Coturnix japonica: one gene and its partner. The protein of the gene in region 2 purifies or fractionates together with the protein of the main gene of each other region. This does not show direct contact. Links are inferred from orthologs where the notes say so. Each region holds a gene or a part of one and is shown on either strand. Other genes may lie near its edges.

The links. Proteins that work in one complex are often made in the same cells at the same time.
Region 1: the proteins of SMARCD1 (region 2) and ACTL6A purify together in Homo sapiens (affinity purification with mass spectrometry; 8 studies listed by BioGRID and IntAct, with this or other methods). This does not show direct contact. The link is inferred for Coturnix japonica from reciprocal best matches to the Homo sapiens genes SMARCD1 and ACTL6A.

The regions. Positions count from the first base shown.
Region 1 is NC_029524.1:15,353,803-15,358,849, reverse strand, and holds the start of ACTL6A (actin-like protein 6A), read left to right. Parts: upstream 1-1,349; 5' UTR 1,350-1,487; coding exon 1,488-1,512; intron 1,513-2,485; coding exon 2,486-2,562; intron 2,563-2,782; coding exon 2,783-2,957; intron 2,958-3,561; coding exon 3,562-3,662; intron 3,663-4,797; coding exon 4,798-4,895; intron 4,896-5,047.
Region 2 is NC_029544.1:344,334-349,380, reverse strand, and holds part of SMARCD1 (SWI/SNF-related matrix-associated actin-dependent regulator of chromatin subfamily D member 1), read left to right. Parts: intron 1-273; coding exon 274-316; intron 317-413; coding exon 414-536; intron 537-805; coding exon 806-934; intron 935-1,421; coding exon 1,422-1,538; intron 1,539-1,868; coding exon 1,869-1,970; intron 1,971-2,067; coding exon 2,068-2,229; intron 2,230-2,339; coding exon 2,340-2,437; intron 2,438-2,870; coding exon 2,871-3,006; intron 3,007-3,324; coding exon 3,325-3,477; intron 3,478-3,711; coding exon 3,712-3,813; intron 3,814-4,037; coding exon 4,038-4,091; 3' UTR 4,092-5,047. UniProt on the Homo sapiens protein: Involved in transcriptional activation and repression of select genes by chromatin remodeling (alteration of DNA-nucleosome topology).

The sequences.
Region 1 (5,047 bases), on a different chromosome or scaffold from region 2:
CTATTAACACAGTGGCGATGCTGCATGATGTAACTACCAACACAACTGCAAAACAGTGGGAAAAAAAAACAAGGCTAAGACAGCTAACAGCCTGAACTTCCCTCCCCAGATCCTCCAGGCTTCTTTGCACAGATTTAGTCTCTTATCTTTGCACTCACCAAATCCTGAGGCTTCCAGACAACAGCAGGACTTGCAGCATACATTCAGTTCTCACTATCGGCACCAGGCAATTGCTGAGCAGGAAAGATTGGTCGTGCACAGGAACGCCCTCTCCCCATGCTGCACAGCCACACGCCTCTTCTGCTGGCACCACTGGGAGATCTCAAGTGCTGCAAAAGTTACAGATAAATGAAGCAGCAGACGGCTGTCTTGGTGTCTCACAGAATGACCTGGGTTGGAAGGGACCTCAAGGATCATGAAGTTCCAACCCCCCTGGGCCCCCTGTCTCACCCACAAAGCTATCATAAGCCACTCTTGGGGAGAGCAGGGTCTGCCCCAAAGCATCAGTTACCACAGGGATGTTATGAACCACTATGAAAACAAAGCCCAAGTACAGGCACAAGCTGAAGAAACGTCCCCCAGTGTTTTAACACCCATTTTGCTTTACAGCCTTCCCCAACTGCAATTAATTCATCCTTCTCCACCAACTCTACCTTGGGTATTAGTGCCACGTGCTAGAAATCACTATAACACATTAAAGGGCACCATAAAATAAATCAAAGCACACCAACATTACACAGTACAACTAGTGGCAAAGAAAGATTTGTGCTGATCTTCCTCATGCAAACACCTATAAAACTCTTTGAAAAGGCTGACAATAGCAGGACATGGGGAAATGGTTTGAAGTTAAAAGAGGGAAGATTTAGGTTGGATGTTAGGGGGAAGTTCTTCACTAGGAGAGTGGTCAGGCCCTGGAACAGGCTGCCCAGGGAGGTTGTGGATGCCCCGTCCTTGGAGGTGTTCAAGGCCAGGTTGGACGGGGCCCTGGGCAACCTGATCTAGTAAAGGTGTATGTTTGGTGGCCCTGCCATGCAGGGGGGTTGGAACTACATGATCCTTGTGGTCCCTTCCAACCCGGGTCATTCTGTGATCCTGTGGCACACCCACCTCAAGAGCTCCTCCCTCAGCTCCTCCCTCAGCTCCTCCTCCAACTCCTCCCTCAGCTCCTCCCGCCCCTCTCTCCTCACACCGCCCTTCCCGCGCACTGCACCTACACTTGCTTGCTCTCACTCTCCTCTACCAAGCTCCTCACTTCCCGCCTCATGATTGGCTACTCATAAGCAAGCCCCTCCTCCCTCCCTTCTCTGATTGGCCGCTGTGCCCACTCAGCCGTTCTGTTGGGTAACGCTCTGCAGTGCGGGCGGGTGGGCGGACGGCGGCGGCGCTGCCATTGGCGGGAAGGCGCGGGCCTGCGAGCTGCGCTGAGCCGGGCGGCGGGGCGAGAGACCGAGTGCTATTGTTAGCACAGCGCTGAGCAGCGGGCAGCCATGAGCGGCGGTGTGTACGGCGGAGGTGAGTCTGATATAACGACACTGTTGAGCTCCCTCAGGCCCGGCTCCCTCCCGCCGCATCGCTCCGTGTGTGAGGAGAGGAGGCCGCCGCGGGCCCAGGGTCCGTCCGACCCGTCTGGGTCACCTGCAGGGATGGGGCACACACAGCAGTGCCAGGGTCTCACTGCCCTCTCTGAAAAATTGCCCCCTAACATGCGACCTAAATCTCTTCCTTTAGTGTGGAACCATTCCCCATCGTCCTGTCACTATCAAACCATGTAGAAAGTCAGTTTCCCTCTTGTTTATAAGCTCCCTGTAAGGCTGCAACAAACTGTCACTGGCACCTTCTCCAAGCTAAGCAAAGCCAGCTCCCTTTCTCCATAGCAGAGGAGCTTCAGCCCTTTGATTGTCTTGACCCTCCTCTGGACTCACTCCAACATCTCATTCTTATGCTGGGGGCCACAGGCCTGAATGTGGTACAACAGATGGGACTTGGCGAGGGCAGGGCACAAGGGGATGGTCACCTTCCTTGCTCTGCTGGCCACCCCTCCCCTGATGCAGCTCAGGATGCTGTTGGCTTTCTAGGCTGAAAGCACACACTGCTGGCTCATGTCCAGCTGTCTGAGTCTCAAGTCCTGTGCAACACCTTGTACGTGGCCTTGTTGAATGTCATGAAGTTCATGTGGACTCGCTTCGCAAGCCTGTGTTTAGATGCAGCTCTCGTCTGTTAAAATTGCCCTTTTTCTTTTGCCAATGAAAGGTATTGCAGTGTCCTGGTTACAGCCTATCTGTAACCTCCTGGTGGCTCTCAGTTAGCTTGAATTCTGAATAGAGAAATTGCTCTGTGTCTCAGGAAAGATGCTTTATCATATTGGGCTTTTTTTTGTTTGTTTGTTTGTTTTCTGGCAAGCAAAGCAGACAAGAGATAAGTTCAGGTCAGGATTGCAGTAGAGCACAATAACCATTCACTACTTCTTTGTTAACAATCTTTGCAGATGAAGTTGGGGCTCTTGTTTTTGACATTGGCTCGTATACAGTGAGAGCAGGCTATGCAGGCGAAGACTGTCCAAAGGTAAGAATCTTTATGAACTCAGTGGGATTACAATTGGAGCTTGAACTTGTTTATTAGTCATAAGCTTCCAGAATATACTGTTTATTATTATTTAAGGAAAACTCTGAATTTTATTAGCCCCCTAAAAAACAAACCAATGAAAAACAAAACCAAAAACCAACAAAACAACCCACATCCAAAATGAATAACCTTCATCAATATTTTACCTTTTGCTTTACAGGTTGATTTTCCAACAGCTATAGGCGTGGTGCTAGAAAGAGACAATGGCAGCACTCTGATGGAGATAGATGGTGACAAAGGCAAACAAGGGGGCCCAACGTACTACATAGACACCAATGCCCTGAGAGTCCCAAGGGAAAATATGGAGGCCATTTCACCTTTAAAAAATGGAATGAGTATGGTGCTCTGTCTTTTTTAGCTGTCTTTAAGATACAATTGTTAGGCTGCAACAAGTCATAGCTTTCATGTAAACAGATGCTATCCATGTCAACTGTTTTTTCCTTTGGACTTAGAAAGCAGGCTCGTAAAGAAACGGTTCTGCTTTCACTTAAGATATTTTAATACGATAATGAGCATTTTTATGTCTTAATGGGAGACTTGTAGATTCTTGTTTATTTGATGGCTTTAATTTAGCTGTCTCCTTTGATAAAACAATTAAGAAACAAGTTTTTGGAAATAGTTCCTAATATTGTTCCTGTAACGTGTATGGACAGAGGCTATCAGCCATAAGAATGGCTCAATTTACAAAATGTCAGTGGACTTTTATTGTAACTTATTTATTTATTATTATTTATAATAACAATTCTTATTTGCTGTCATGATGCTTAAAAAAATATAGATGAGAATTTGGCAAAGCAGGAGGGGTATAGGGCTGCTGAGGACGGCTTTTGTCTGAAGAGCTCTTAGGAAAAAAAAAAACATCAGGAAAACTTTATGTGGATTTATGAAGTAGATCAAAAGTTAGAAGTAACTAATCTGCTTGCTTCGATGTCGTTGCAGTTGAAGACTGGGATAGTTTCCAGGCAATTTTGGATCACACTTACAAGATGCATATTAAATCTGAAGCGAGTTTGCATCCTGTCCTTATGTCTGAAGCACCAGTGAGTAAAAGGAGCTTTGCATTGTGAGGAGACTTATCAGTATCTTCTTGCTGAATCTATAGACATTAGTCTTGGAGAAACCCAGCACTGGCTTGTAGGTTATGAGTGTTAAAACTGAACTACAGAAGTAACATTTAAAAATATCATGCAGGTTCTGGAAAGTATTCTCAATAGGAAAAATGTCAAAAAAAAGCCCAAATTTGAAAGAATTTCTATGCGTTTCATTAGAACACACTTACTATGTGTTACTGTATTTCATGTATTTAAAAAAAAAAAAAAAAAAGTAGTATAAAATCAAAAATAACCTCACTTGACAGCACAGAATAAAAGCAAAAAGTTGTCTGAATGTCTTCATATATTACACTTAATCCATCTTTGCATGCAATCAGCCTGCCATCTAACGTGACAGGGAATAACACGTGTAGTGGAGTTTTAATTTCGTTTCAGCAAATGCTCCTGTAACATAAATGAGGTGCATGAACACAGATTTCTGGAGAAAAACGTGAACAAAGTTTCTGTCATTTAGTTGTGGAAGTGCTGAGTCACAGCTTGAAGCAGTGATTGAGCACCTCAATCACTGGGCAGGGCCAACTCAGGGATGCATTCAATGTACCAACCCCTTCCTAGACCTAATTTAAGGGTTGGCAGTGAGAGTCTTTTGTTGGGGATCCCTTTTACCTGAAGCTTCTAAGGATAAGTAGTTTTTTTTCCTTCATGTCTGTGTCTATGGCTGCTCTATTTGGGCTGGTTCTCATTTGCTGTAGCTGAAGGCTTTGCCACTCTGTTGTTATTGCTGTCTATCACATTAGAGTGTTATGCTTGAGGGGCATAAAATCTGAAGGCATTAAAGTAGACCTGTAATCCAAGAGTTTTGCCTACTTTCTGTAAATTTACTGTCTGTGCACTTATATTGAAGATATGTATTAATGTTTTGAAGTAGTATTAGAACAATACAGTTTCTAAGGAAATAAATTATTAGGAATCTGTTTCTCTATAGAATTTTGATTTAATTTGAAATTACAACTTAAATAATTCCAATTACTTCCTTGCTTTGTTTGCTTTCTTTTATTATGCTCAAACAATCCTCAAGATAGGTGTATCTTCTTATTTACTTGCTTGTATTTTCTTTTTCTAGTGGAATACCAGAGCAAAGCGTGAGAAGCTGACGGAATTGATGTTCGAACACTACAACATCCCTGCTTTTTTCTTGTGTAAAACTGCTGTTCTAACAGCGTATCCTTTGCAATATTGTGCTGGGTTTTTGTGGTTTTTATAGGACCGAAATGCTGTCATCCAAACTACTGAATACTGTAACTAGACATTGATGTTCCTATAGCCTTAAGATGAATATTTGTAGCCTTATTCAAGTGCTAACATGTTTTCAC
Region 2 (5,047 bases):
CAATGTGATGCCTTGGTAACGTTGGTAATGCATCTCTGAGTCTCCTAGAAAAGTCTGTCTAAAGCACATTGAGCCATAAGGCTTCCTTTCCAATGATGCAGCCTTGCTTTCATTGCTTTCCTTGGGGATGTATTAAGGCGATCAGCTGCTGCAGGGCTGAGAGCATTGCTGATGCCCTGGTCCTAAAACACAAACCTCATCTCGCTCCTTTTGTGAACGTCCAGTGTTAATTAGCAGAATGGTTGCCATTTTAATGCTCTCCTTACTTTACAGTGCTAAAAAGAAGAAGATGGCAGACAAAATTCTACCTCAGAGGGTGAGTGGCATGTGCAGTTGACAGCCTCTGCTGATATGGAGATGTGGGGGAACTGACAGTGATTTGCATTCTTGATTGGCTCGTGTTCTGCTTGTAGATCCGTGAACTTGTGCCTGAGTCTCAAGCTTATATGGACCTGCTGGCCTTTGAAAGGAAATTGGACCAGACGATCATGAGGAAACGCTTGGATATCCAGGAGGCTTTGAAACGACCCATTAAGGTAGGAGAGGGACATTCAGAGACTTACTGTTATCAGAAGAGTAGGAGGGCTTTGAAGGTTGTGTCATAACCCTATAAGCATAGAGAGAACTGTAATGCCCAGGACTTAAGTGGGGGGGTAGAACCAAGACTGCCTCTCTCTGTGCTGTTTGTCCTGAGAGTGGATGTATGAGGAAAAGAAGAATATTTAGCTTAGTTTTAACAAAACATAAGCATGATTCTCATCCCTTTGCTTCTGAATGAATACTGAGCTGATGCTTTTTCTTGTAGCAAAAGCGAAAGCTACGTATTTTTATCTCCAATACCTTCAATCCAGCCAAGTCGGATGCAGAGGATGGTGAAGGAACAGTGGCCTCCTGGGAGCTTCGAGTAGAAGGAAGGCTGCTAGAAGATGTGAGTGTAAGGCACCCAACTGCAGAGCTGATTTGATGGGTCTGGAATTGGAAATTGAACCAGTTTCTTAGTGTCTGGGAGTGTAGCTAAGGGCTTGATATCCTCCTTCATCTCTGTTTTCCAAGGAGTCTGATGGTGACGAGACCGAGAGCCCAACTCGGAGACCGATGGGTATCCCCATGGCAGAACATGAGTTATACAAAGTTCTTATAGCTATAAGAATTAATGGTGAGAGCCGATCAGTAGCACTTGTGTACCCTGGCTCTTAGAACCAGGGCACTCGCATTTTATGTAATTGCTGAGTAAGTTAATTCCTCCAAGCTCATCTTTATCTCCAGTCTTTCACCATTTTTGACTTGGAACTTGATTTTCGAGCATGTGTTGATGAATGTAAGTGTTCACAACTTAAAGGAACACTGCTGTGCACCTTGCCTGTGCTTGAGTCCTGGAACTTGCTCTCCTGACTCTCTCTTCCTTCCTGTGTTGCTTGCAGTCTGCTTTGTCCAAATACGATGCCACCAAACAGAAAAGAAAGTTCTCATCCTTCTTTAAATCTCTGGTCATTGAACTTGATAAAGACCTCTATGGCCCTGACAATCACCTGGTAGAGGTGAGCTTGCTTCTTTTTGCTGTATTATCTCTACAAATGGGTTGTTGTTCCAGCAGATTGAATTTGTGTGTAGTTGGTAACTTGTGAAGTGGGATATTTAAGGCTTTAACAAGTGGCTAGGTGCCAGGGCTGAATTCTCTTGAATTCTTATCTTAGCTTTTCCACTGACTTGCCAGGGCTCTGAATAAATGCATTAACTCTTGTTTCAAACTATAAATGGGAATAAGATGAATCTTCTGTCGTGGGGGAGGTTGGGTGGCAAGCAGCGGGAGCAAAAGGAATCGAGCGTGTAGGTGCAGCTAAATCCCCCTCCTGTTGCACGTATTCCAGTGGCACAGAACTGCTACAACTCAGGAGACAGATGGCTTCCAGGTGAAGAGGCCAGGAGATGTCAATGTGCGCTGCACTGTCCTTCTGATGCTCGATTACCAGGTGAGATGCTGGATAGCAGTGCTGGGCACACGTAGCGTTTGCTATGCTGTATCTGTGGCCATAGTCCCCTCTCACCTCTCTGTGCTTTTTCTTTCAGCCTCCCCAGTTCAAACTGGATCCCCGCTTGGCTCGTCTGCTGGGGATCCACACTCAGACTCGCCCAGTGATCATCCAGGCTTTGTGGCAATATATCAAAACCCACAAGCTCCAGGACCCCCACGAGCGGGAGTATGTCATTTGTGACAAATACCTCCAGCAGGTAACGGGATTTGTGGTGGGAATGAGCAACTGCTTCAGCTTTTCCTGGTCAGCAGACAGCTGTTTGGCACAGCTCCTGTTCCTTCCCTTAGCCTTGTGTTTCTGTCACAGATATTTGAATCTCAGCGGATGAAGTTCTCTGAAATTCCACAAAGGCTTCATGCACTGCTTATGCCCCCGGAACCGATCATCATTAATCACGTGATCAGGTGAGGCTGCTTTACTTGGCTTTTTATTTATAAAAAGAAGAGAACAAAGAATGGATGGGGCTGGCACAGAAAAATGACGTGAAGAGCTCTGATTTTTCAGTAGTAGTTTCCCTGTGTTGCCTGCCATTATTTCTTTACACAGGAATGGGCACCTCTGACACTTACTGTATCCTTCTCTTTCACAAGGAACTCATACTTCCTTTGCATTACCACGTATGTGGGTAGAAATTTGCTTGGAACAGTCACTTGGTCCTTATGCAGCAAAGACATCAATAAAGCTTCGCTGTTTGGTGTTAGAGATGAACCTAACGCTGGCTTGGCTTGTCCCTGCTGGCAGTCCTTATGCTGTACCACCCTAAAGCAGTCACAATTTGATGAGTTGGCTTCTTGAATGACTTACTCTTTCTGGTTCCTTTCTTGTGGATGCCCCCAGTGTTGATCCTAATGACCAGAAGAAAACGGCCTGCTATGACATTGATGTGGAGGTGGATGACACCTTGAAGACTCAGATGAATTCATTCCTGCTATCAACTGCCAGTCAACAGGAAATTGCTGCTCTGGATAACAAGGTAGGAAGAGCTCCTTCAGGTGTGCCATCCTCTTTGCTAGATAGGAGTGTGTCTGTGGAGCAAGATAAGCTCTGATTGTGACAGTTCAGATTTGCTCTTTTGGGCATTTGGAAGTTGGAGTAGGGCAACAATGGGTAGATAGATGGCTTTACCTGGAAGCAGAGTTTTAAAGCAAATGGTCAGTGGAAAAACCAGTAACCTTTAGAGAAGGAAGTTAGGAGCTGTGAATCCTATCTGATAAGTCAGCCAGAGAGTATAAGAATTCACCTTCACACATTGGATCTCTTTATGTTTCTCTGACATTTTTTCCCTATTCAGCAGTCCCGATGCTGTGCTTATCTCCTCCAGATCCATGAAACAATAGAGACAATTAACCAGCTGAAGACCCAGCGTGAGTTCATGCTGAGCTTTGCCCGAGATCCTCAGGGCTTCATCAATGACTGGCTCCAGTCCCAGTGCCGGGACTTGAAGGTAAAAGCTTTTCTTGTGTGGAAGGTGGATCCAGTCACATGCTTCCCTCATTATAACTAGCTCCCACAGAGAGAGAAAGGCAATTTCCTGCTTAGAAAGCAAGACTTGAACTGAAATCAAACATAAGGACCTGACCTGACTGAACTGAAGTTTCTTTGAGGCAAAGGGGGTGCAGTTTTGTTCAGCACAGAGCTTTTGTACTCCCTGAACTGCTTTGTCCTTTGTGCTTTCCAGACGATGACTGATGTTGTTGGGAATCCTGAAGAGGAGCGTAGAGCTGAGTTCTACTTCCAGCCATGGGCTCAGGAAGCTGTGTGCAGATACTTCTACTCCAAGGTGAGTGTCTCCAGGCAGGGGTTCCTTCCAGACCCGGTAGCTTGGTGTACCTGCCACTTCTTGGGGCTGATGCCCTGGTGAAAAAGGAGCAGTGTTAAGCCTTGCTTTCAGACACTGCTAATGCATTATGATCCCAGTTTGTGTTCAGCCCCATCCAGATGGTCCCTGTGAGACTTGAACACTGAGCTGCTGTCTTTGTTAATGTTGCAACTCTTCTCTTCCAGGTCCAGCAAAGACGGCAGGAGCTGGAGCAGGCCCTGGGAATCCGCAACACATAGGTCCTCATCTCCTCCCCAACCAGAAGGCATCAGAGCTGCTTGTGGAGACAGGGTGCTGCAGAGCACGCAGTTAAGGCTCACATAACCACACATAACTGTGGTGCCAAGGCCTGCACCGTCATCCATCCTGGCACTGTCCCTGCTGGGGCAGCTCTAGGACACCTGGGGTCTTCTGGGGTGTGGCAAGCAGACAGGCTCCAACAAGTACACACTTCTACCTGGTTTTCTTCCTGACTGTTGCCTTGTCAGTCCCAAGGCTTCCAAGAGCCTCCCCTTGACTCCGTGCTGCCTGTAGTGTCCCCAGTAGCCAGTATGAATGCTGACTTGGAGTTCAGAAACTCTTCCTCTTCCCATTCCTTTTCAACTAGCATCTAGTTGTGGCACACGTGAGACCTGACTCTGGGAAGCCAGGATCTGCTCAAAGGGTGGAGTTCTGTGGCTAGTCTGGTCTCTGCCTCTGTTAGTAGCAAGGTACCAGGAGATGGAGTGGGCAGGATGCTGACCTACCTCCAGCCCTCCCCTCCCTCGCTGGGAGGGGGCTGCTGCACTGGGCTGCCTCACAGGTCACTCTCCTCCTTGAGGAAGTTACTGGACTGTATAGAGAATTGTTTCTTCCCTTGTCCCTTTTTCCCTGTCCTGCTCCCTCCTTGTTTATGACAGACTGCCTTGAGCTGGGAATCACAGGGGAGATGAAGCATTGTCTTATGGCAGAGATGTGGAAGTGCTGAGAAAAAGACTCTGCTTATGGTTCCAGCAAGCCAGCTGGCTGCTTGCTTTCCCTGTAGTGGGGAGGGAATGGAGTACCTGCCCAATGCAGTTGTGCAGGGGCAGAGTGTTGTATGCTCATTCCTTTGGGACAGTTACCGTGCATCATTTGCTGTGGGGACCAGAGGCTCCTTCCTGTGGATCTGGGAGTGTGGATCCATCACTTGGGAGTGGAAGTAGCCCCGAGTATG